3 linked regions of the Arabidopsis thaliana genome follow. The protein of the gene in region 1 purifies or fractionates together with the protein of each later gene. This does not show direct contact. Each region holds a gene or a part of one and is shown on either strand. Other genes may lie near its edges.

Evidence for each region. Proteins that work in one complex are often made in the same cells at the same time.
Region 2: the proteins of AT3G02630 (region 1) and AT1G30580 fractionate together in Arabidopsis thaliana (co-fractionation; one large-scale study listed by BioGRID). This does not show direct contact.
Region 3: the proteins of AT3G02630 (region 1) and Hop1 fractionate together in Arabidopsis thaliana (co-fractionation; one large-scale study listed by BioGRID). This does not show direct contact.

What each region holds. Positions count from the first base shown.
Region 1 is NC_003074.8:559,296-566,700, reverse strand, and holds AT3G02630 (Plant stearoyl-acyl-carrier-protein desaturase family protein), read right to left. Parts: upstream 4,672-7,405; 5' UTR 4,538-4,671; coding exon 4,416-4,537; intron 3,827-4,415; coding exon 3,322-3,826; intron 2,914-3,321; coding exon 2,473-2,913; intron 2,300-2,472; coding exon 2,177-2,299; 3' UTR 1,831-2,176; downstream 1-1,830. Other genes in the region: AT3G02645 (transmembrane protein, putative (DUF247)), read right to left, coding at 1-430; AT3G02640 (uncharacterized protein), read left to right, coding at 1,080-1,637; AT3G02620 (Plant stearoyl-acyl-carrier-protein desaturase family protein), read right to left, coding at 4,941-5,516, 5,632-6,121, 6,300-6,454. UniProt on the Arabidopsis thaliana protein: Converts stearoyl-ACP to oleoyl-ACP by introduction of a cis double bond between carbons 9 and 10 of the acyl chain.
Region 2 is NC_003070.9:10,830,428-10,839,102, forward strand, and holds AT1G30580 (GTP binding protein), read right to left. Parts: upstream 5,209-8,675; 5' UTR 5,028-5,208; coding exon 4,941-5,027; intron 4,608-4,940; coding exon 4,440-4,607; intron 4,337-4,439; coding exon 4,213-4,336; intron 3,886-4,212; coding exon 3,794-3,885; intron 3,633-3,793; coding exon 3,534-3,632; intron 3,435-3,533; coding exon 3,321-3,434; intron 3,003-3,320; coding exon 2,938-3,002; intron 2,779-2,937; coding exon 2,662-2,778; intron 2,555-2,661; coding exon 2,479-2,554; intron 2,285-2,478; coding exon 2,192-2,284; intron 1,872-2,191; coding exon 1,821-1,871; intron 1,625-1,820; coding exon 1,526-1,624; 3' UTR 1,246-1,525; downstream 1-1,245. Other genes in the region: HERK2 (hercules receptor kinase 2), read left to right, coding at 1-1,055; AT1G30590 (RNA polymerase I specific transcription initiation factor RRN3 protein), read right to left, coding at 5,549-5,813, 6,083-6,267, 6,380-6,493, 6,681-6,768, 6,862-6,945, 7,055-7,161, 7,278-7,346, 7,443-7,568 and 5 more. UniProt on the Arabidopsis thaliana protein: Hydrolyzes ATP, and can also hydrolyze GTP with lower efficiency. Has lower affinity for GTP. Exhibits GTPase activity.
Region 3 is NC_003070.9:4,168,745-4,175,975, reverse strand, and holds Hop1 (stress-inducible protein), read right to left. Parts: upstream 3,942-7,231; 5' UTR 3,872-3,941; coding exon 2,993-3,871; intron 2,858-2,992; coding exon 2,569-2,857; intron 2,427-2,568; coding exon 2,341-2,426; intron 2,240-2,340; coding exon 2,016-2,239; intron 1,932-2,015; coding exon 1,865-1,931; intron 1,766-1,864; coding exon 1,706-1,765; intron 1,515-1,705; coding exon 1,401-1,514; 3' UTR 1,246-1,400; downstream 1-1,245. Other genes in the region: SUMM2 (LRR and NB-ARC domains-containing disease resistance protein), read left to right, coding at 1-1,101. UniProt on the Arabidopsis thaliana protein: Mediates the association of the molecular chaperones HSP70 and HSP90. Mediates nuclear encoded chloroplast preproteins binding to HSP90 prior to chloroplastic sorting.

The DNA.
Region 1 (7,405 bases):
GAAACTCGATCAAGAACGATGAATCTACCGCCATTATCCACAACAGAGTCTCTCCGTTAAACCCGATATACTTATGATAACAAGCTCGAATCTTAATCTCCATGGATTGTAATTTCTCTACAAGATCATGAAACCTGAAAGAGTTATATTGATTTCGAATTTTTCTCGCGATCATTAGTTTATACCTCTCCATTTCGTGAAGCTCTGGTTTTAGACAGTGATAAGGTCCGATCGAAACTCGGTGAGGTGTGTATGAATCTGGATGGCTACACATTAATGCTTTAGGAACATTGAAAATGCTGACTGTGACTTCTTCGAGATCGTGTTCTTCGAGCTCTGCATCGAGAGATTTTTGGACATTGATGACCCATCGAGTTTCGTCAAACCTGTGTTGCTCTGTAGATGAAAAAATTGGTTTTTTAGGTAACATGGTTCTTAAATTTTAGAAGCAGCTCAAGATCTTGGATCGAATCATTCTTCTTCTTTCAATCTGAGAGTAAAGAAGAGAAGAAGAAACAGTTTTTGTCCTATTTGCAGTTATGGTTTCATCAAGACTTTACTCTGTTTCAATGGTATTGAAACGGCCTTCAAGTTTCATCTTGAATAAACTGTGTGAACCGAATTAAAGATTCACAATTCGTTTTTTTTGTTCATCAAATAATTAGTTCGGTTGGAATGAGTCGGTTCAATTTAAGCAGACGAAAACACACAAGACATAAACTTATATTTGCTTCGTAAGGATAACATATCCGTGTTCAGGATAAAAATATCCTTGTCTCGGACAAACAAGAACCCAACTTGGCCCATTGGGCTTGCCAGTCTTGTTCTGGAACAAAGGAATAGCAAAAAACACTAGCCGTTACACACACAACAACAACTCACTCTGTCGGTGATCTGTCCTTCACTTCTGTAAAGCCTCAACGGTCATATTTGGAAAATCAGACCGTTTAAATCGCTCTCTACATAAACCCAAATTCATAACTCACCCAATCACAATTCGCAAGCTATCTTCCTTTCTTCTTCGCAATCTCAAAATCCAAAATTTTCTGCAACCCGAATCAGAAACCTCCAACATCGTCATGGGTTTAATTCCTCAACCACAAGAATCGATCCAAGAATCTCATTACTACACACATAAACTCTTCCTCACTGCAAACTACGTCCTCCTCGGTGCATCGTCAAGCTGCATCTTCCTCACTCTCTCTCTCCGTCTAATCCCTTCACTCTGCGGTTTCTTCCTCATCCTCCTTCACGCCACCACGATCGCAGCCGCCGTCTCAGGCTGTGCAGCCGCATCTTATGGTAAGAACCGGTGGTACGCAGCTCACATGATCGCAACTGTCCTTACCGCCATTTTCCAAGGCTCAGTCTCTGTTCTCATCTTTACCAACACTTCGAATTTCCTCGAGAGCCTTAACTCTTACGTCCGTGAGAAAGAAGCGTCTATGATCTTGAAACTAGCTGGTGGGCTCTGTGTTGTAATCTTTTGCCTTGAGTGGATCGTTCTTGTTCTCGCCTTTTTCTTGAAGTACTACGCTTATGTCGATGGTGATAACAATGGAGTTGCTATGAAAAGGACTGGTAAGGTTCAGAGTGAAGAGACTCTCAAAAATTCCCCATGGGCGTTCCAAGTTTGAAGAAAAATTCACTTCTTGTAATGATTTTGTTTAAGAGAAGAGAGGTTGTATCAAATGTTAGTTTGATCTGTGTTTCAGGGTTTGGTTTATATGTATTGAAGAATTGAATTGGTTGATTACTTTGTTGATGATTCTATATGTCTTGCATAAGAAAATTTTAATTGATGATATTCAAGGAATATGTGTACCCAAGTTCTCTAGAACATTATTGCCAAACCACTCTTTATTTAAGAGAGAACATTCTTTAGACTGATACAACAAAAAGAGAATCAAAAAGGTAAAGGAAAATCTTAAGTCTTGTTCTTGGTAAACCATACAATATCTAAGAACACTCAAACACATTTTCTTTGGTCTTGACTGATTCAAACAAGAAACATAACCTAACCACATAACTTTATCTACAATGTTCCGTATAAAACAAAACACATTCAAATGAACTTTCGTGGTCTTAAAAACTGGTCCTTCATTGGTGAAATGGTTGGTGAAGACCTTTATGACTTACTTGGGATAATTGGAAAGAGAATTGTGTAGTAAACTTCTTAAGCCCTGATATTTCGACCAAATATCCAGCTGAATGGTATGTTTTTGGCAGCTTCTTTGGCTCTTCCTTGAGCTCTCTCTTCAATTTTACGGATTCTTGCAGGTAGTCCGCAGACAAAGTCCTGTCAAAGGAAATGATAGAGTCAGAATTCAAGTTTAGGTCCCGATCAGATCATCAAAAACACAAAACAGTATATCTAATATAGTATTCATGACCAAAAACTACTACAAGATTGTTATAAGTATTCATAAACTTGGAGGTTTCATCACAAGAAGTTTCATGGAGGTAATTTACCTGGGCCCTGTGTCCTTCACTAGAAAGGTCTGTCAAAGTCTCCACATTCCACCGTTCAACAAGAAACTCCAGAATATCAGCATAGTCCTTGGCAGTGTAGACACCGAGCCTCTGGGCAACGGTTGAGAAGTGCTCAAACAGGTTATCATCTTGGCCATCATACATTAAATGTGCAGGCATTGATATCTTTTTCTTCATCATATCAGCCAGGCCCAAGATCGTGCCATCAGGGTCAATTTCAAAGAGCTTCTCTACAATCTTGGTGTAAGCAGTCTCATGACGCCTCTCATCAGCAGCAATGGTCCCGCATATCTGCGCAAGTTTCAAATCTCCACGATCTTTCGCCAGTCTGGCAGTGTTTCCATGGGAGATGAAGGTCGCTCTTTCTTGAAATGATGTGTAGATGAAACCCAAGTAAGGGTTGTTTTCAGTTTTTGGATCCTAAGGACATAAGACAAATCGATCAATCTTACATTGAATATTAGGAATACAAACTTTACACAATGGAAATCCGTAAAGTGATTAATGTGGCAGCTAAGCAGCACTCCAATTCTATCTTCAGAACTTGAAACATAAAAAATGCGTATGTTGCTAACATGAAGATTTGCAGATAGTCATTGTGAAGTCAATATAAGCCATACTAAGAAATGACAAGATAAGTTCCAAAAAAGTAAAACTGATAAATGGTTCCAACTTATTCCTCTTCTGTTCCCCTACCTATGGAATTTTAACAATCAATTCAAACAAGCATGTAACGATTGTATCCCCATCCCCAGTCACTTCCTAAAGCGCAAATGCAACTTTAGGAGATTATGGGTTAAAGCAAAAAAGAAAGTTAGCAGAGCTTACCATTCCAGAACCAATCAGGTACTGAATAGTCTTTTCAATCTGCCTCATGTCTACCCGACCAGACAGATAAAGATACTTGTTAAGGAGATCCCCATGTCTATTCTCCTCAGCAGTCCAAGCCCTGGTCCATATAGCCCAAGGAGTAGGACTAGCTCCTGTCTCATCCCTAACACCATCCAATGTGTTCAACATGGTCTGGTAAGTAGGAAGTGCTTCTTCAGTGATCATATCCCCAACAAGCACCACAAAATAGTCATCAGGAAGTTCCTTGCACCTTTCCCTTAGCTCCTTGACTTGGTCATAGAATCCTTCCGACTCAGGTTCGGGAAGAAAATCGGTAGGCTGCCACGATTTCTCAACAGGTTTTAAATAAGTCAACAGGGTTTCATCAGCCCATCCTTCTAAAGACTTAAAGATCTCTAACTTTTGTGGCGGCATTGAATGTTTGACTTGGACATGCACCTCTCTGGGAGGGATATACAGTTTCCTTCCATTCGTAACCTCTCTGTAATTAAAACCAAATAAAGCTTTAGAAAAAGTCTAAGCAGCTACTACACCAACAAGCTTTCTTAACATAATAATCAAACAAGAGAATAAATGAACGAAGTAATGATTTAGCATAGTAGTCTTATGGGTCAACAACCAAGTAAAAAGAAAGTCATAAACACAAAACAATTCATGCATGCGTTTGGGAAAGTTGAAGAGATTATCAAAATTTAACATAGAGACAAAGATTGTCCTTTGCATGTAAGGATAGCTTTTCAAATAAATAAAAAATAAAAAAAATCAAGATTCTTTGATCTAAAGAAATCTCCCAGATAAATCAGAAAACCAGTAAAAATGAAAGATTTTTTAAACACAAATGAAGCAAATTCCTCATTTCACAAACCAGAAACTAATACATGTGATCATATAACTCGTAACTACACACAATGAGAGTGCATTGGGAATCAAATTGATGAAAATAAGAAACTGGATCAACCAAAGCCCAGAGGTTTATCATCGATACTCAAACCAAACTCCAGATCAGAACAAATTCAAAGCATTAAAGAAAAATAAGCTCACGAATTGGAAATAGAGAGATTAAAACTCACGTAGTCGCAGAGCGAATCGTAGAAGCCATGGAAACTCTGGAAGATCTGGATCCCCTAGCTTGACAAGGACGATAGACGTAAGATGAAGGGGAGAAGACGATCCGATCCATAGCCATCGCCATTTGATTCTTCTCTAACAATCGAAAATGATCAATGAACAAAAAAAACAAATCCCAGATTTTAAAAAGAAATCTTTCGATTATTTCTATGCTGTGTGAGACTGTGAAAAGAGACAAGGTGAAGAAGAAACTTTGGGCGTGATGATCGAGCCAAGGGGACATTAATATACAACTTTTTTCTTCTCTACAATATCCCTCAGCTACTCTTTTAATTACGTCTATGCCACTCAGATATTTTCTTTGCTTAATTTTCAAGCCCATGGGCCATATGGTAGTTATAACCCAGTGTTTCACTAAAACGCAAGATCTTTTAGCGTTTCTTTATTACATTTACTTCCCATATTACATTAGTAAGGCCCATAACGTTTAAGAGTCTAATACAGTGAAACGCAACAACCATTGTCGTTTAGAGTTCAACTTCTCTCCCGTAAATCCAGCTGAACGAAACAGAAGGTTTAGACTTTGACGCACGTTTGACTCTATCGTCAGCTCTTTCCTCTAACCTCCTGATCCTCTGCGGCAAGGTACACAGATAATCCTGTGCTCTCCTTCCTTCACCGGACAAACCCATCCCTAACTTCTCCACCTCCCACCGCCGCAACAAAAACTCCAAAATCCCTGCGTAATCCGTCGCGGTATACACTCCGATTCTCTGCGCCACAGCAGCGTAATGATCGAACAGATTGTCATCGCGACCGTCGTGCATCAGCTGAGCCGGCATCGTGATTCGCTTCCTCATCATACTCGCTAGAGCTTGTACGGTACCATCGGGATCAATCTCGAATAGCTTCTCGACGATCCGCGTATACGCCATCTCGTGCCGCTTCTCATCCGCCGCGATTGTTCCACAGATTTTGGCGAGAGTTGTGTCGCCGTATGTCGTGGCTAGCTTCGCCGTGTTGGCGTGGGAGATAAAAGTTGCTCTCTCTTGAAAAGAAGTGTAGATGTAGCCGTTGTAGGGATTGTTCTCATATTTGGTGTCCTGAAAAATAATTATAAACTTGTCAATATGGTCCCAAAGAAATTATAATTTACATTTTGAGCACACCTATATTTATGGGAGTGTAACAATTTGGCCAATACCAAAAAGAACGTACCATGCCGGATCCGATAAGATATTGAATAGTCTTTTCAACATGTCGCGTATCAACACGACCTGATAAGTAAAGGTACTTATTCAACAAATCACCGTGTCGATTTTCCTCCGCCGTCCATGCTCTAAGCCAAACCGCCCACGGTGTTAGACTAACACCGGTCTCGTCTTTGGCTCCGTCGAGAGTGTTCATAACCGTTTGATAAGTCGGTAATGCTTCTTCGGTGATCATATCTCCGACAAGAACTACAAAGTAATCGTCAGGGATCTCTTTTGTTCGATCTCTTAGCTCTTTCACTTGTTCGTAGAATCGGTCTTCGTCTTTGGTTTCTGGCAAAAAGTCTTGTGGTTGCCATGAAGTTTCGACGGGTTTGAGGTAAGATAATAAGTTTTCTTGGGCCCAATTCTCCATTGATTTGAAGATCTCCAGTTTCTCTTGTGTTATTGTGTGTGTCACTTGGTTTGATACTTCTTTGATGGGTCGAAACGTCTTGCTGTAACATTTTCATCGTTAATTAAGAACACTGTTATTTTGATCAGGTTCGTGTCTTATTGTAATTTATAGAACATATGTTAATATGCAAGTATATAAAACCCAATGAGTGAAAAAGTTATTAACAATACATTGAGATCAACGCGAAGAATTGAAGATCTAAAAAGAAAAAAACTCGCCTCGGGTTAGTGGCAACACACGAAACTTGAAGATGACGAGGAGGAGAAAAACTAGATCCCAAACAAGTAGTCTGCATAAAAGATACCGCGGTCGCGGGATTCTGCTTCATAGCCACAGTCATCGTCGAGTTCAAGAGCAGAGCCATCATCGTCATTTATCTATCTCTCTCTTTTCTTATTGCCCTTGTGCCTCTGCGTTAGGAGGAGAGAAGAGTATATATGTATATAGTGAGTGAGTTGACAAAAGATAGAGTGTTATACATGTTACCCCTAGCCAGTTGTAATTATTTATTCTTCTATGATCAATATGACGAGTTGTCATAGACTTAAAGATCTATTAAACATGTTATCGCAAAGACAGAAAATCTCTACGCAAATAATATAACTTCTTGCCGTTTGCATTGCCCTTGAAATATTGTTTTTATATACATTCGATCATAAATTTCTTACAATTTTAATTATATAAAATTGTCTACGCAAATAATATAATTCCTTGCCGTTTGCATTGCCATTTAAATATTGTATTTTTATATACAGTCGATCATAAATTTGTTATAATTTTATATATATATATATATATATAATTCATATGGATACACAATTATTCGGTTTTACACTAAACAAAACATCGCATTGATGGTATGGTTAGGTTTCTATATTCTTAACGGATCGTTTCTGGTATATAATAAAGTTTCAATCGATGCTTCTTTGAAAGACGGGTTCAATCGGGTTTTCTGGTCTCTATGTCCCTCGGTTTTGATCGGATTTTTGATCAGATTGGTGTAATTGGACTGGATTCTGATGGATTTTATATGAGCATATTCTGGAAGTAGCCCAATGAATATTACTTTAATAATCTTGAATGCTTTTTATTGAAAAAGAATGACATTTGTAAAAAACAAATCGGCTTGATCGAGAAAGTTGGCTTACTCGTGTCTTGTCTTTTTCACCAAGTTGAAAAATGGCTGTGAAAATCAAACGTAACAAAACTTTCGAAATTCTATATGTTTTTACAAAGAGTGTCATTTTACCATTTTTCACATAAATTTAGAAAGTAATGTACTTTTTCCATCAAGTTGGAAATGGCTATGAAAATCAAATTTTAC
Region 2 (8,675 bases), on another chromosome or scaffold:
TTGCAGCATCTACAATGGGAAGGAAGTTTACACTAGCCGAGATTCGTGCAGCAACTAAGAACTTTGATGATGGTTTAGCTATTGGAGTTGGAGGGTTTGGTAAGGTTTACAGAGGAGAGCTTGAAGATGGAACACTCATAGCTATAAAACGAGCCACCCCACATTCTCAGCAAGGGCTTGCTGAATTCGAAACCGAGATCGTGATGCTCTCAAGACTTAGGCATAGGCATCTTGTGTCTTTGATCGGGTTCTGCGATGAGCACAATGAGATGATCTTGGTTTATGAATACATGGCAAATGGAACTCTCAGGAGTCATCTCTTTGGAAGCAACCTTCCGCCATTATCATGGAAGCAACGGCTTGAAGCTTGTATAGGCTCTGCGAGAGGATTGCATTACCTTCACACAGGGTCAGAGAGAGGAATCATTCACAGAGATGTCAAAACAACAAACATACTATTAGACGAGAACTTTGTGGCAAAGATGTCTGATTTTGGGCTGTCGAAAGCTGGACCGTCCATGGACCATACTCATGTGAGTACAGCTGTGAAAGGAAGTTTTGGTTATCTTGATCCTGAATACTTTAGAAGGCAACAGTTAACAGAGAAGTCAGATGTTTACTCTTTTGGTGTTGTGTTGTTCGAAGCTGTTTGTGCTCGAGCTGTTATAAACCCAACTTTGCCTAAAGACCAGATCAACCTTGCGGAATGGGCTTTAAGCTGGCAAAAACAGAGAAACCTCGAGTCCATCATCGACTCAAATCTGAGGGGAAACTACAGTCCTGAATCGTTGGAGAAGTATGGGGAGATAGCAGAGAAGTGCTTAGCGGATGAAGGGAAGAACAGGCCAATGATGGGAGAAGTGTTATGGAGCTTGGAGTATGTTTTGCAGATTCATGAAGCTTGGCTTCGCAAACAGAATGGAGAAAACTCGTTTTCGAGCAGCCAAGCGGTAGAAGAAGCACCAGAGAGCTTTACTCTTCCAGCTTGTTCCAATCAAGATTCCTCAGAAACTGAGCAGAGCCAAACAGGATCTGCTCTTCACAATTCGGCTTAGAGGAAGCAATTGGATTGGCCAGTCCCAAAATAATTCTTTTGTTCTTTTGTTATAATTGATTGTGATCTATCCAGAAGCTCTTTTGTAATAGAGCTTGTAATATACACTGCAAATATAATTTCCTTAAGGTATTCGTTTAATCATTCTTTCCATTTGTTTCCTTCGCTAATAAGTGCACCAGAAGTTGTTTGCTGGGTTTCTTCAACTCATTCTCACGCACAATTACTCAAGGTTCTTTCCAAATAGTAGAGAAAAACTTATTGAAAGAGTTCTAAACGATACAGCAGGCTTAATGCTCTGTCTAAAGGCAAAGACATGTCTTAGCTAACTGCAAAATGTAAAGAGTTACAAATACTTGTTTGGTAAAGCCACTCAAAAACGGAAAATACAGCTTGGTTCCTTTCTCGGAAATGGATAGAGCTTCAAGATCCAGAGAGGACACCGCGGATAGGTGGACAGACGGATGGATCTCATTTCTTCCCACCACCGGAAACATTGAACTTGAAGAAAATGATATCTCCATCCTGAACAACATATGTTTTACCCTCCTGTCTGTATTTTCCTGCGGCCTGCATTAGTTGAAGGGATTATAAATTAGACCAAGTGTCATCGCCATGAACATTATAAATATAATCATGCCTCTTCAACGAGGATATCTTGCACAGTGGAGAGCTTCCTTAACATTTTCATGTCTGTTTTTAGAGGCTACTTACTCCACCGAGACCTTAAGAGATTGTAGAAGGAAAAGAAGTTATAGACAAATACCTTGACTGCAGGTTCATTGCCAAGTTCCTTGAGATCCTCGAATTTCATGACCTGTGACATCAACAACAACATTGGAATAAATCACATTGAATTTCAAAACAGAAAAATATTTGATTAGATATGGTTTGCATTAGGATTCTGCTTTGATATCTACAGGCCTGCATCGATACTAGGAAATCAACACCAAGATGAATATAAGAATATGCAAGCAAGCATTTGTTTTTGTCAGTGAAAACATAAGAAAGATTATATAAACTCTATAACAGAACAAATCATCAAAATCTGGAGGGGAAAGGCTTTACGCATGTAAATTTTAGGTAGGAATAAACTAGTGAATTGACCAAGATTCAAGAGAAATGAGAAAATGGTACCTCAGCACAAATAAATCCTCTCTCAAAATCAGTATGAATGGCCCCTGCAGCTTGAGGAGCCTTTGACTGCCGTCTTATTTGCCAGCACTTCACCTGCAAATCAAAGTATCATTGATGGATGTATTTTATAAACCATCAAATTCCAGTAACAATGCACTACTTGACACATAACACTGATCATGCACTACCAAATAGCTCATTACAGAACAATTATGCTTAGAAGAATTTCACAGAGAACTAGAGACTAAAGCGTGTAGTGAAGCCAAGTAAAGTGGGACTGTTAATACCTCATCAGGCCCTGCTGTAAAGAAGTATATGAGGTTAATTGCTGAAAATCCAGTTTTGATGATCCTCGGAAGAGCACTGTCAAAGCAGCAATGGCCATAAGATTCAATTTAACAGATTCATAAAGAAAAATCATCTTCAGGAGCAACTATTCATTCGCAAGGTGCTGTTCTTTTATTCCTAACCTTTGCAGTTTGTTCTCCTCACAATACTTTGCTGCTTCATCTGGGGCCATATCAGCGAGACTCCTTTCAAACACACCACTGAAAGGAATCATAGTATCACCACCGTGTTCTTGAACCCTACATAATGATGAAACAGATATTTTTAGTTTAGGAGAAGTATAATAAGGTAAGTAAATGTGTAAGCACGTAGCCATATTAGAAACTTTTGCAACAACCAAGGGGCAAAATGTTTTACTTATTATTCAACATAGTTTGTGAAAGGATATATATTAGTACCAGGCATGAATCTTTGGCAAGAACTTGTTTTTCTTCCTCTGATAGTCTCTCTCATTCAGGTTAATCTGTAATTTAAATTTCAGAGTAACCAGTGATCACAAAAAGTCCAACCAAGATGCCTTAATAGTTCTTACACTGAGATGAAACACATAGTTGAAACAAACATGAAAGCATAGAGATCAGAAATAGCTAAGGAACACACTATGGTTAAATTTGGGGGCAAATAGTGTCACAAAAATAGACAGTATGACCTACATTTTGCAAACTGACCCGAAAAAAATTGAGGGAACAAAATTGTCGACTATAGATATGAAAGAAGCAAATGCATTTATCTTGATAGAAACAATGGTAACAGAAAGAGATGAACATTCAAGACTACTCACCAAGTAAACAACGGGCTTTGCAGAAAGCAATTGGAAAGTGTTCAAAATCTCGATATCAGCTGTTTTCCAGTCCCCAAAACGGACATCCTTACCATCTTCTAGCCAAGCTTTTACCTAAACCAGAGAGGTACAGTCATTTTTTCGGCCAATTAATAATTAATGAGCAATAACATTTGCAGAACAAGACTGCATGGTTGTCAAATTATAGCATACCTTTTGCAAGAGCTCAAGTTCTATTTTCAGCTGCTTGTCATTGCTCCTCTTCATGCTCTTCTCGACATCATCAATCTTCTTTCCAACAAATTCAATATCCTAAAGTTGCACCAAAGAATTCAGTTTGAAACCAAAACAACAATGGATGAAATGAAGATCCAACTAATACAAAAAACAGACTACTGTATTAATATACACAGAAAGGATTTCACGAGTTTGGAGATATAGCAGTCAAATATCTGTTTAGAGATTTGATTCACCTTTAGCCGCAACTCTTCAGTAATGGTCTCCAAATCTCTAACAGGATCCACGATATCGTCGACATGGATAATATCAGCATCTTCAAAAGCACCTGCATATGTTCAATCGAAAAGTCACTAACCACTATATAACTGGCAAGATATCTTACTATCAGCAACTATTAAAGAAACATCCCCGTTGTTCAAGAACAGATATGCTTGGAGAGGAAAACATAAACTAACTATCGCAATGGCCCTATAGGTATCAAATGGGAAGAAAAATATATAAAGGTTTTTAACCTGTCTCTCATTGAAAAGCCTGCTCAAGTAGAAATTCAAGACAGCACAAGTAGCAGTACAGTCTAAATTATTCATCAAATCACGCATCACACTAAAACAAAGCTGGCACTAGGAGAAAAAGCGAGAGGGAAAAACCATACGTAAAACATGGAAAATTCCATCAACTGCACGAATATGGGACAAGAAGTTGTTTCCAAGACCCTGTCCTTCATGAGCTCCTCTAACAAGCCCAGCAATGTCATGAATTTCCAAGAAAGCTGGAATCTGAGGCATCAAAACAGACAGAAGTCAGCCCATTCATAAAGTAATTCAGATAGTAGTAATCTCTTCCTTAACAGCAAGTCATGAAATAAAGTTACAAACTTACCTCACTCTTAGGCTTGTAAGTTTGGCAAAGCCAATCGAACCTCTCATCGGGGATATTCACACGTGCCTCATTAGGCTCAATGGTACAAAAGGGGAAATTCTCAGCTGGAATTGAAAGCTTTGTAAGAGTGTTGAAAAGAGTAGATTTTCCAACATTTGGTAACCCAACCTGCGATGCCACAAACAATTCCCATAGTGAATAACATCAATACTTCTCCATATCATCATATCAACCATGAACAATCAACCTTAATCACTGTATCAAAGAAGCAGTTTCTTAAATATGGATTAAACATCTAAAAGAGTACAGTGACAAACACAACGAAACAAACAATATCATCATGCATCACTGATGAGTTAATAGATCTCTCCCGGCAAAACTCAGAAGAAGAAAAAAAAAAAAAACTTTTATCGAGGAAAGTATTGCGATGAGCAAATCTACCATTCACCATTCGAAATTAATCAACTTGGATTCTAAAAGAGAGATGAAGAGAAAAATTACAATTCCGATCTTGAGGTGAGAAGAGAAACGGCCAAGAATAGGCCTCTCTACGGGACCTGCATCTTTAGCTTTGGCTTTCGGAGGCATCTTTCTCAAAGTCTCGAGCTTGAAAGTGAAGCGAAGCTCTAAGATATTCTAGGGTTTTTGCTGATTAACAAAGCCTAGCAGAAGAAGCTACAAGACGCCGACGCCGAGGTTAAAGAGAGATTGCTCAGCTGGTTTACGGACCGGTTTAAATCGGAGGGTCAATTCCCGGTTTACTTTTAACCATTTGCGGGACATTTACCAAAATACAAAGAGCTATTTTTAACCAATTTTGTGGACAAAGTAAACCCAATATTGAACACTAAACCGAGAAATCAATCATTCAGCATTTCAACTTAACCAAATTAAACCGAAACTCAAATTAGGTAATCATAAACCAACTGACTAAATTTTACTTCATAGATGTTCTTCAAAATTTTGCTACAAAACCACATGCGATCAGATAATACCACAGACTCGCACAAAACTCATGTCAACTTCTTTTTTTTAGAGTTTACGCACTAGCTAAGAGATTGTAATAAGAAACCTACATTGCAAAATTGCATTCCCTCTCTCTATGACTATTAGATTAAGAAGGATTCAGGAGGACTAGTGGATGGTCTGATTCTTGAAGGCATCTTCAAGAGCCTCTCTGTTTCTCGCATGAAAGAGTGTTTCGGAGTTGTAGACATCGTGTTCATCTCACTATCAAGTTCAACGTCATCGTCAGGTTCCTCCGCACTGTCTGCATCTCCATTCACTATGACCTCATCACAAAGCTCTTCGTCACCATCTTCTCCATAAGTCGTTTTCACCATTGACCAGAAGTTGAAGTTCGGGGAGATGTAGCTTCAAGAATTGACAAGAAAACACGTGTGAGAAAGAGAGTTCAAGCCTATCCAATGCAAATACTTTGATTCATCACTTGTTTTATCATATTAAAATAATTTTCAATGTCATTTCAAGACTGTAATTAAGATGTATGCAGTAGAATTTGTATCAAATATGCCCAGGTCGGGTAAATTCATCCAGTGAGTCAAGAACCTTGTGTAAGATTCTCACATTGATTTGTCCTTACTTTGGAAGAGAAAAAATAATCAAGAGTAAAGATAGCAAACCTGCTAGACATTTTCAACAAGCACGGGTCAAACGGGAAGAATGTGTCAAGCCTTTCAAAGCCACCAAAAGCACGAGAGAGCTCAGACTCGTGTAGGTCATCGAAAATGAAGGATTCTGAGACAATGAACAGACCACCAGCTTTGGCTTGTTTAAGGAACTCGGAAACTACAGATGGAAGACACACCTGTTCACACAAAATGAATGGTGCAAGCATAATGCATTTGATACTTGGAGTGAAGACTACTTAAAATAACAGTTGAGCTATGAGAAGAAAATGATTAGTGTAAGTCACCCACCAGTAGTGGGTTTAGTTTGTGAGATAAAATTGACTCCAATGATCTAAACTGCGATTGAAAGCGAGGAATCTCCACTATGGATCTCATTCGGAAGCATAGCACATACAAGATTGCCTACAGTCATAGAAAAGTAACAACTTTAAGCGATACATGACATAATAGCATATGATCCCAAACGCCAATAAGCTTCTGGTAAGGGTGTGAACATTAACAATGATTGATAACTAGAGACGTCAATGATTTCACAGAAGAGTTCTTAAGGAATCAAAAGCCATAAGATGGTCTTAAACTTGGACTATACCTGACATCCAGAATAGAACACTTGATGTGCTTCTGGCTTCACATCATCATTGCATGTTCCGCAATATTCCGCACACTCGTCCACCAATCTAGGATTTCAGCAAAAGAGAAACTATGTTACAACAAAGCGAGACTTAAATCAGATCAAACAATTACATTTTCCATTTTTTAGCAATACGTACCTTTTCAACATGCTAGCCACAAAAGAAGCAGGCAAAAACTTTCCACGAGACAAATAGCTAGCTAGATAAGCCACTGCACTCATCCTGTTAAGTATAAAGAGAAAACAAAAGAATACACAAGTGGTGATTAGAACAATATTAGCTTCATATCATGCAGAGAAATCTTTACCAAGAAGGACAAGATTAAACTCGCCTAGTAAGTCGACATGTGTTGCTGGAGAGATATATGTCCAACAGCTTACTGGCAAATCTCACACCACAATTTTCAGGATCTAGTGAGCATGCATAGAACATCAGAAACTGCAGATGAAAGTAGAGTGAGTCTAAGCCAAGACATCACATGCCGATAATGAACTAATGCTAGAAGCCTACAATGAAAACTTTGTAGTATGTAAGGTGATAGCTTTGATGCCTACCTGTGAAAATTTTGTTTTGTATGTGTTCAGAATATAGTTCTCGAACGACTTAAAGAGGATTTCAAATACCTATGCCAAAATGAAAAACAGAAACACCAAAAGATCAATGAATCTACCACAAAGGAAAGGAAAAATATGTTGAACAAGTACCATTTGGTGCCATACCTCATCCAAACGATCAGAGTTTTGACAGGATTCTAGATGATGAAAAAATAGGACCATCAATTTGTCCAACAGTTCAGAGACTACATTTCCACCTGAAGTATTTTGTTTTAGAGCCCCCACTGGAAACTGCAAAAAGAGATCAAATTTATGAATGATGACACATTCTTCTCCAGGAAACCAGAGGTCATGTCTAACATTTCACAACAAGAGAAAATGGTATCTTGTCATCAAGTAACTTTCGATCATTACTAAACAGAGTAAGTTTCGGGATTTTGCAAAGATAGCAAAAAATTACACTAACCCTACCTCGTCTCCTTCATTCATAGTGCTTTCAACTGCATCTTCAAGTTCCATATCAAACATGCCTCCATTAGAGTCATCACATCCACTTACCAACTACAAAGATGCTCAAGCATATCATTCACTTGCCACTTTACTTAGTGGCTACATTTTTATAAAAAATTAACATCTACTTACATCTAAATCTAGCATCCTCTCCATTACCATCATAAGAATCACGCTGCCAACAACTTCTCCGATTGAGCTATTCTCCAACCTCAACAGGTTATCCACATATGTCACTATAGACTTCAAGACAAAAAGATAGTTTCAATTCTTTACCACCAATATGACCTCACTGTTACATAGTCTAAACTATAACCAAAAAAAAAAAAACTTACAGGGTCCTTTTTGTCAATTTTACGCATGTTCTGCGCAAGTATAGACACTAAATTCCAGGGAGCAAGAGGAATTAAATAAGAAATCTTGTGAAGGGCTGCATGCACCCGTGGATGAACTTCCTGCATCTTTTTGACTAATTGGGTTTGTGAAACTTTATGCTTAAAAGTAGGTTGACTGAAATTTCTTACGAGCATATTCAAACAAGGATCCAGATATTTTCCACTAGTAGCGGCCTCATGATGAGAAACAACAAAAACACAAAATGTTATTCTCTACAACCAGATTATAAATTCATTGACATTAGGAGTAGTTGCTGAGTTGTGTACCAGTGATATGATTAGGTCCACCAATGCATCCATTACACTAGGTCTGTGACTATGATACCACAAGCTCATCTTAAAAATCTAATCACAATAAATGGGATGAAATTCAGAGAAAGGATAGAAGGGCATGTCTTTAACAAGTATATATGGATTCAACTGTGAGCTCATGCAATAAAAACTTACAGCTTCAAGAAGATCTTTATGATGAACTAAATCTATCCAAGCAACG
Region 3 (7,231 bases), on another chromosome or scaffold:
GAAATTTTATCTGGCAGTCCCGAATGCCTGGAACTTACAACTCTGTTCCTTCAGAAAAATGATTCATTGCTACATATCTCGGATGAATTCTTCCGGTGTATCCCAATGCTAGTTGTTTTGGATCTATCAGGGAATTCAAGTCTCCGGAAATTGCCTAACCAAATATCAAAGTTAGTCTCCTTGCGTTATCTTGACTTGTCGTGGACATACATTAAGCGGCTACCTGTCGGTCTACAAGAGTTGAAAAAGCTCAGATATTTGAGATTGGATTACATGAAGAGACTTAAGAGTATTTCAGGGATATCAAATATATCAAGTTTGAGGAAATTGCAACTTTTACAGTCTAAAATGTCGCTAGACATGAGCTTAGTGGAGGAGTTGCAGCTATTAGAACATTTAGAAGTTCTAAACATAAGTATCAAGTCAAGCTTGGTAGTGGAGAAGTTGTTAAATGCTCCCAGGTTGGTGAAATGTCTTCAAATCTTAGTACTTAGAGGAGTTCAGGAAGAATCATCCGGAGTATTGACTTTGCCAGATATGGATAATCTCAATAAAGTCATCATAAGGAAGTGTGGAATGTGTGAGATAAAGATAGAGAGGAAAACTTTATCATTATCATCGAACAGAAGTCCCAAAACTCAATTCCTCCATAACCTCTCCACTGTGCATATAAGTAGCTGTGATGGTCTGAAGGATTTGACGTGGTTGTTGTTCGCTCCTAACCTCACTAGTCTCGAGGTTCTGGACTCGGAACTAGTAGAAGGAATAATAAACCAAGAGAAAGCTATGACTATGAGTGGTATCATTCCTTTCCAGAAACTAGAGAGTCTACGCCTACACAATCTAGCGATGTTGAGGAGCATCTACTGGCAACCTCTGTCTTTTCCATGTCTGAAGACAATTCACATAACGAAGTGTCCTGAGCTGAGAAAGCTTCCATTGGATTCTGAAATTGCCATAAGGGATGAAGAACTTGTCATTAAGTACCAAGAGGAAGAATGGCTTGAAAGGGTTGAATGGGACAACGAAGCCACAAGACTCCGTTTCTTACCTTTTTTCAAGTTCTTTGGACCTGAATGGCAAGTTAGTTATGTGCGGTAGCAATTTGTAGAGCTGAAGCAATGAAATGATTCAAATTTTGTGAATGACAAAGTCGTTGTGTATTTAGCCATTTGCTCTCTTATGCTCCAAATGGTATAGAGATGTAAAGCAACATAACTTTAAGGATCGCAGTAAATGTTATATCAGAAGAAAATATGATTGCAATTTGTTCGGAACACAACGTCAGTAAACATGGGAAATCAGCCGGTCACAAATCTAGAATTGTTGCAGATTGCAAAGATATAAGAGAAAAAATGAATCTGCCAAAACGGATATTCGATGTTTCAACTCTTCTGAGTTTATTTCATCTGGACGATCCCAGCGCTAATAAGCTTTTGAATCTTGTTCATAACCATTGGATTTTGCATGTGCTTCTGTGCTGCGCTTGGATTCTCTTGAAGATCAGACAGTACCTGTTTGGAAGAAAGGTTTTAGAATGTTAAGAGGTATTATCACATGCAAACTCGAACCAACACGTAAAAACATAGTTAGATCTATCTAGACATCTCACAACAGAGTAACATTGGTAATAAGAAACTCGATTCAAACAAAAATTGCATCATACTCATACAATCACAATTTACGACAGAGTTTGTTTATTTACCTGTCTCATTACAGGATCTGTGAGGATGTTCTGGATTTCTGGGTCTTGCATTCCCTTTGCCTACACAAAAGAAAAGGAGAAATCCAAGTTAGCTTCCCGGGTTTTCTTTCAATCACAAATGGGGGGAGAAAACATGAGAATCATCAGAATGTAACTAACCTGTCTCTCTTTCAATTCCTCAGGAGTAAGGTCTCCGCGATTAGCCTTGTTGATTTGTTGTACACATCTGCAGAATAGATTTGAACCACATTAAACAAATTCATGGCAATAGATAGAAAAGTTAATAATCTCTGTGTATCTGTGTATATACCTTTTAACACCGTCAAGAAGTTCCTGATTACTAGGATCATGCTCGAGACCCGCTTGGTATGTTTCCATCGCATTGTCGTACTCTTTGAGGAAGAATTGGACTGCAGCTTTTCTGCTGTATCCTTTAGAGAAGGTTGGATCGAGCTCAATACACTTTTCTGCATCCTTTAGTCCTTCAGGCATTGCACCTAGCTTAGTGTAACTAGCAGCTCGGTTGCTATATGCCTAACATAGGTGCAAAAAAAGTACGAGTTGCTCAAACAGTCGGAATAGAAAATCATTGTAGAAGACCTTAAGAACATATAAATATGATGAAGTGCCCTTACTTTATGGTCATTTGGGTTCCTTTTGATTGCTTCGGTGTAATGTTTTATGGCCTCAGGATACTTCTGCTCCTTGAAGAAATCGTTACCTGTATTAAATACACCACAACAGCAGCAGTAAAAACGCTAATTCATTCTTGTTTTCAGGGTTCTATAAGCTTTCTTTTCCCACACACACACACACACACACACACAAAAAAAAAAAAAGAGACTAATTGCTAAAGCAATCACCTTTTTCACGCTCTTCATCCCCTAGCTTAGGATCGAAATATTGCTTCTGTTCCCACTCTTTCTTTGCTCTTTCCGCATCGTTAAGTCTCTTCAACGTATCAGGGTTACGGTGCTCTGTAAGAGCCTTCTGGAAAGCTTCAATGGCAGGTTCATAGTCTTTCGAGCATTTGGCCATCTTAGTCAAAGCAGTCCCTTTTCTAGTCAAAGCTCTAGCTACCATCTTGTAATCTGACCTAAGCTCTCTACCCCTTTCCACAGCCTTGTTACAATCCTCAATGCACTCATTGTACTGAATCAAAACACAATGACATTAAAAACTAATCACCATTGTAGCACATAACAAGCAAATCATCATTCTAGGCTTCTAGCCTATCAGCAAATAAAGGGACAAAACAAAAGAGCATTACACATATGAAAATCATACCTTTCCCATCTCAAGATAAACAGCAGCACGATTTGTGAGGTACGAGATGTCTTCATCATCAATCTCAATAGCAGTAGAATAATGCTGAATAGCAGTTTCAAAGTCCTTCTTTTTATACGCAGCATTCCCAAGCTCTTTCTCCTTTTTAGCTTTCTCCTTCCTCTCTTTCTTCTCCTTCTCCTCTGTCACCTCCGGTTCCGGTTCAGGCTCCGGTTCTCTCTTCTTCTCAACCTCAGGCTCATTACTAGAACTCTGACCCATATCAGACTCAGGAACCTCAGCCTCATCTCCCTGAGGCGGCGGTGGCCTAAACTTAACATTCAATAAAACTCCAAGAGATTGCATCACTCTCTGATCCTTCAAATACAAATTAAGACTGCTAGGATTCTTCTGAATCTCCTGCATCATGTTAACAAAATCCGGCTGCTGCAAAAAGCCTCTAGTCGAAGGATCAGACGTAAGCTTCGTCCACATCTCCGGTCCTTGAAAAGCATCACCAAACGGATTCGGTGCAGCTCGTGACCTAGCAACAGACGCCTCCGCATCAGCCAATCCAGATTTCAACGCCTCGTTAGTCGGATCGACATCTAAACCTTTCTTATAAGCAGTGACGGCTAACTCAAACTGGTTTAACCCTAAATGAGCAGCACCGAGACGGCTATAACCTTTAGGCCAATACGGTTTGAGTTTAATCGTCTCTTTCGCATCGGAGAGAGCTTCGGCGTATTGATGAAGCGACGCGTGAGCAGCGGAACGGTTTGAGAAGAGGACGTGATTGGTTGGAGCAAGAGCTATGGCTTCGGTGAAGTGGTTTATAGCCGTGGTGAAGTCACCGGAAGAGAAAGCAGCGTTTCCTTTAGCTTTAGCTTCTTCTGCCATTGTTTGAATCTGAGATTTTTGCAAGTCTCTGCAGCTTCTTGGGAGACTACTCTCTATAAGAAAAGAACACTTGTTTGGGGTTTTGAGAAATTGAGGGACTGTTTGGATATGAGGATAGAATTTGTTAGTGGATATTTGTCCGGGTTTATAATTATCCTCGTTACGTTTAATAATAAAGAATCTTATAAAACGATGTCGTTTTGTGTTGTCGTGGAAATCCCGGTTATCAGCAGACCCACGATTTATTCACCGGTTCCATTGTTTAGAGTTTCATTTCTCCGGTTCGATTTTGTTTTTGTATTCACTTGTTCTTCAGTTCATTTAAGAAATAGTGAAAGCTCCTGAACTGATCTCACTTCTAAGTGAGAACTGTTGCTTGAGATTGAATTTGTTTTCATCACCCATTTCTTGTTACCAGTCTCATAGCATTTTTCATCATTATGATACATTTCTTACTTGTGATTTTCTTTGCTAAGGAGACATGCATGTTTTTAGTAATATGGAATCATAGTTACAAGCACCTGGATTAAAGAAGACAAGAAAATCTTGAGGTCAAGTTTTCTTTAGCTAAATACGTTCGGTGAAGTTTGTCTACGAGTATAGAGTTTTGTTATCGTACTTTTGTTTACTTTTGTTTACTTTTGTCTACAAGTTTTCTTACTTTTGTTTTGGGGTTGTGTGTGGACTGTTTGGATACGAGTATAAAATTATATTGTATCTTAAGAATAAAATTACTAAGAAACGGTGTCGGTTTTGTACTGTCGTGGAGACTCCGGTTATTGGTAGACCAACGATTTCTTCTCCGGTTCGATTTTTCTTTTTGTTACTTGTTCGTCAATTTCGTTCAAGAAATAGTGAAAGCTATTGAGTTGTGTATTTCACATGTAAGCTCTTGAGATTGAAATAAACTGCATCGACCATTCCTGTTACCAGGCTCATATATAGCATTTTAAATAAAATCAAAATCAAAATCGAAACTGCAAAATCAAAATCATGGCTTATTTAATTTATTTTCAATACACTTAATTAAAAGAAAAAAATGTCGGTGTATATAGACACATCATGCTTAGATCTAGAGAGTTATTTTCATTATCTTTTGTTACCCTCTTTATTTTAATATGAGTCTTTTTAAATTTTTGTTCATTAATTTCTTTATCTTATGATTACTACTATAATTTCGTATTATTGTTCCGAAGAAGACATATAAACCAAAATGCAATCATATCTCCCATTTCCATTTACATCTTACATTCTCTAAAGCATATATAAACGAAAATATAATAAATGTAACTTGTAATAATTTGACACACGGCTTGAGCTGGCCAACTATGAAATCATGAGGGTCGTCGTCGATGTGCATATTTGTTTCTGCAAAATGGCTGACTTTTACACTCATACATACTCATACAGTCAACTCAAAATAGAATTCAGTCTTTCTTGAAATATCATCTATAGGTTGACAATTAAACCAGTTTGTCCAAAAAAAAAAGGTTGACAATAAAATCATATATATAAAGTTTATAAACCATATGCATGCTTGCTGTTGAATTTGACCCCAAAAAAACCCATATATATGCTGATTGATGTTCCAAAAAATTGTTCCTATGAATTAAAAAAACAATTCCGTTCAAAAAAATTTAAATTTCAGATATCTACTTGTCACTGGGTTTACTGTTTATCTCTTGAATTGGGTAATAAATTTATAATCCAAACTGTTTAAAGGTCATTATTAGTTGAGTTTGTTGAGTTAGTATTCGTCGATTTGAAATCTTCCAGTAATTTTTCGTATTCAATGATTCATATCGCATGAAATAATTAGTCGTTTGGTGCATGGTATAGTGATTAAAGCCATGCATTTAGACTATTGTTACGTATAATTATTAATGATAATTAGCTTACTAATTATTATGGATTTAAGAAAAAAGTAATTATTAGAATTTTATGTGCGCTTATTTATTGAATAATATAGATAGTGGTGGCCCTAAATATTATTTACTGGGGCAGAGTACACTTCAAACATAATTTTTTTTGGTAAATTATTTACAAAGTCAACTACAACTATTACCTCAAAAAATTTGTAATACCAAATATATGATTTTTTAAAATTAATTTTTTATTTTATTTGAAACAAAGTCTTTAAAATAATTAACATGACCTTCATAACAAAAAAATAAAAAAAATAATTAATATATTTCACAATAATCAGCATTTTTTGTTTACATGCAACATTTTTTGTCTCGCATATATATATGCATCATTTAAAACTACATAGAACTTATTTTCGGAGATTGGATATCTAGTAACTTACTAGTAGTAAGTAGTAACACATAATACAAATAACCATTATTGATAAATATAAATGTCACAATGGTGTTACTTAGTCCGGGCTCGTTTTGGCAATTGGCATGGAAATGACGCCATGAGATTCTATGGATCGATCCATCCAGATTTTGATCTTGTTTTATAAACATTCATATTTGATCTGATCATTTCAGTTTTGTGGCCATTCAGAAAGCAACTTCAGGCATATCTATAACAACAAAACAAAAAAAAGCGACGGGGTGTAAATGTGTAATGGATTTGGTCTAACCAGACTCAAATCTAAGAAAATTGGTCATATATGAATCGGTACTGAATCATCTGAAGTTGAGTATTTTTCTCAAAAAACTAAAAAGTTCGGCGCTATGTAACCCTAAAACTAACGAGCCGATTTGAAACACTGGCTGTACGTTGGCTAGCTGTACATCATCACTAGTGGTAAGATCAAACCAAACAATAAGTAAGATGGTAGAATCTTTCACATGGAAGTGTTTTCACATGTAACAAGTTTTTCTCATGGGACAAGAAACTGACAAAAGGAACAAACTTCCCACGTGGTTTAATTCATAGGGAATTTTTGTAATGATTAGGGTTATGGGACAAGTTGTGAAGAAATATATCTTCTCATCAAATGGATATACAACACGAGTCATGCGCAAATTCCCTCTAAACCCTAGAACAAGAAAAAAGCCTTGGACTTGCACCGTTCATTTATTTTCGATTATTTATTTGGCCGTAATTACTTAATGTGTCATGATGATCATTGTAGGTTCTACGGTAGTATATAGTAGAAGGGTATTTTTTAGAAGGTAACATATTTTTATATTTTATAAGAAAATGTATGCCACCTTGGCCCATGCGTATATAGGATAGTATAATTAGTTGTCTTGAAGGTTTTATACACTCAATTGAAAATTTTAACATGATATTAGTTAGTAAAAAATACCATCCATATATATAGAGGTATTCATGGAGATTCTTCTTCTAGAATCCAAAATTATTATTTATTCATAGTGGTAACTTGCAATTTCAGCAGGATCT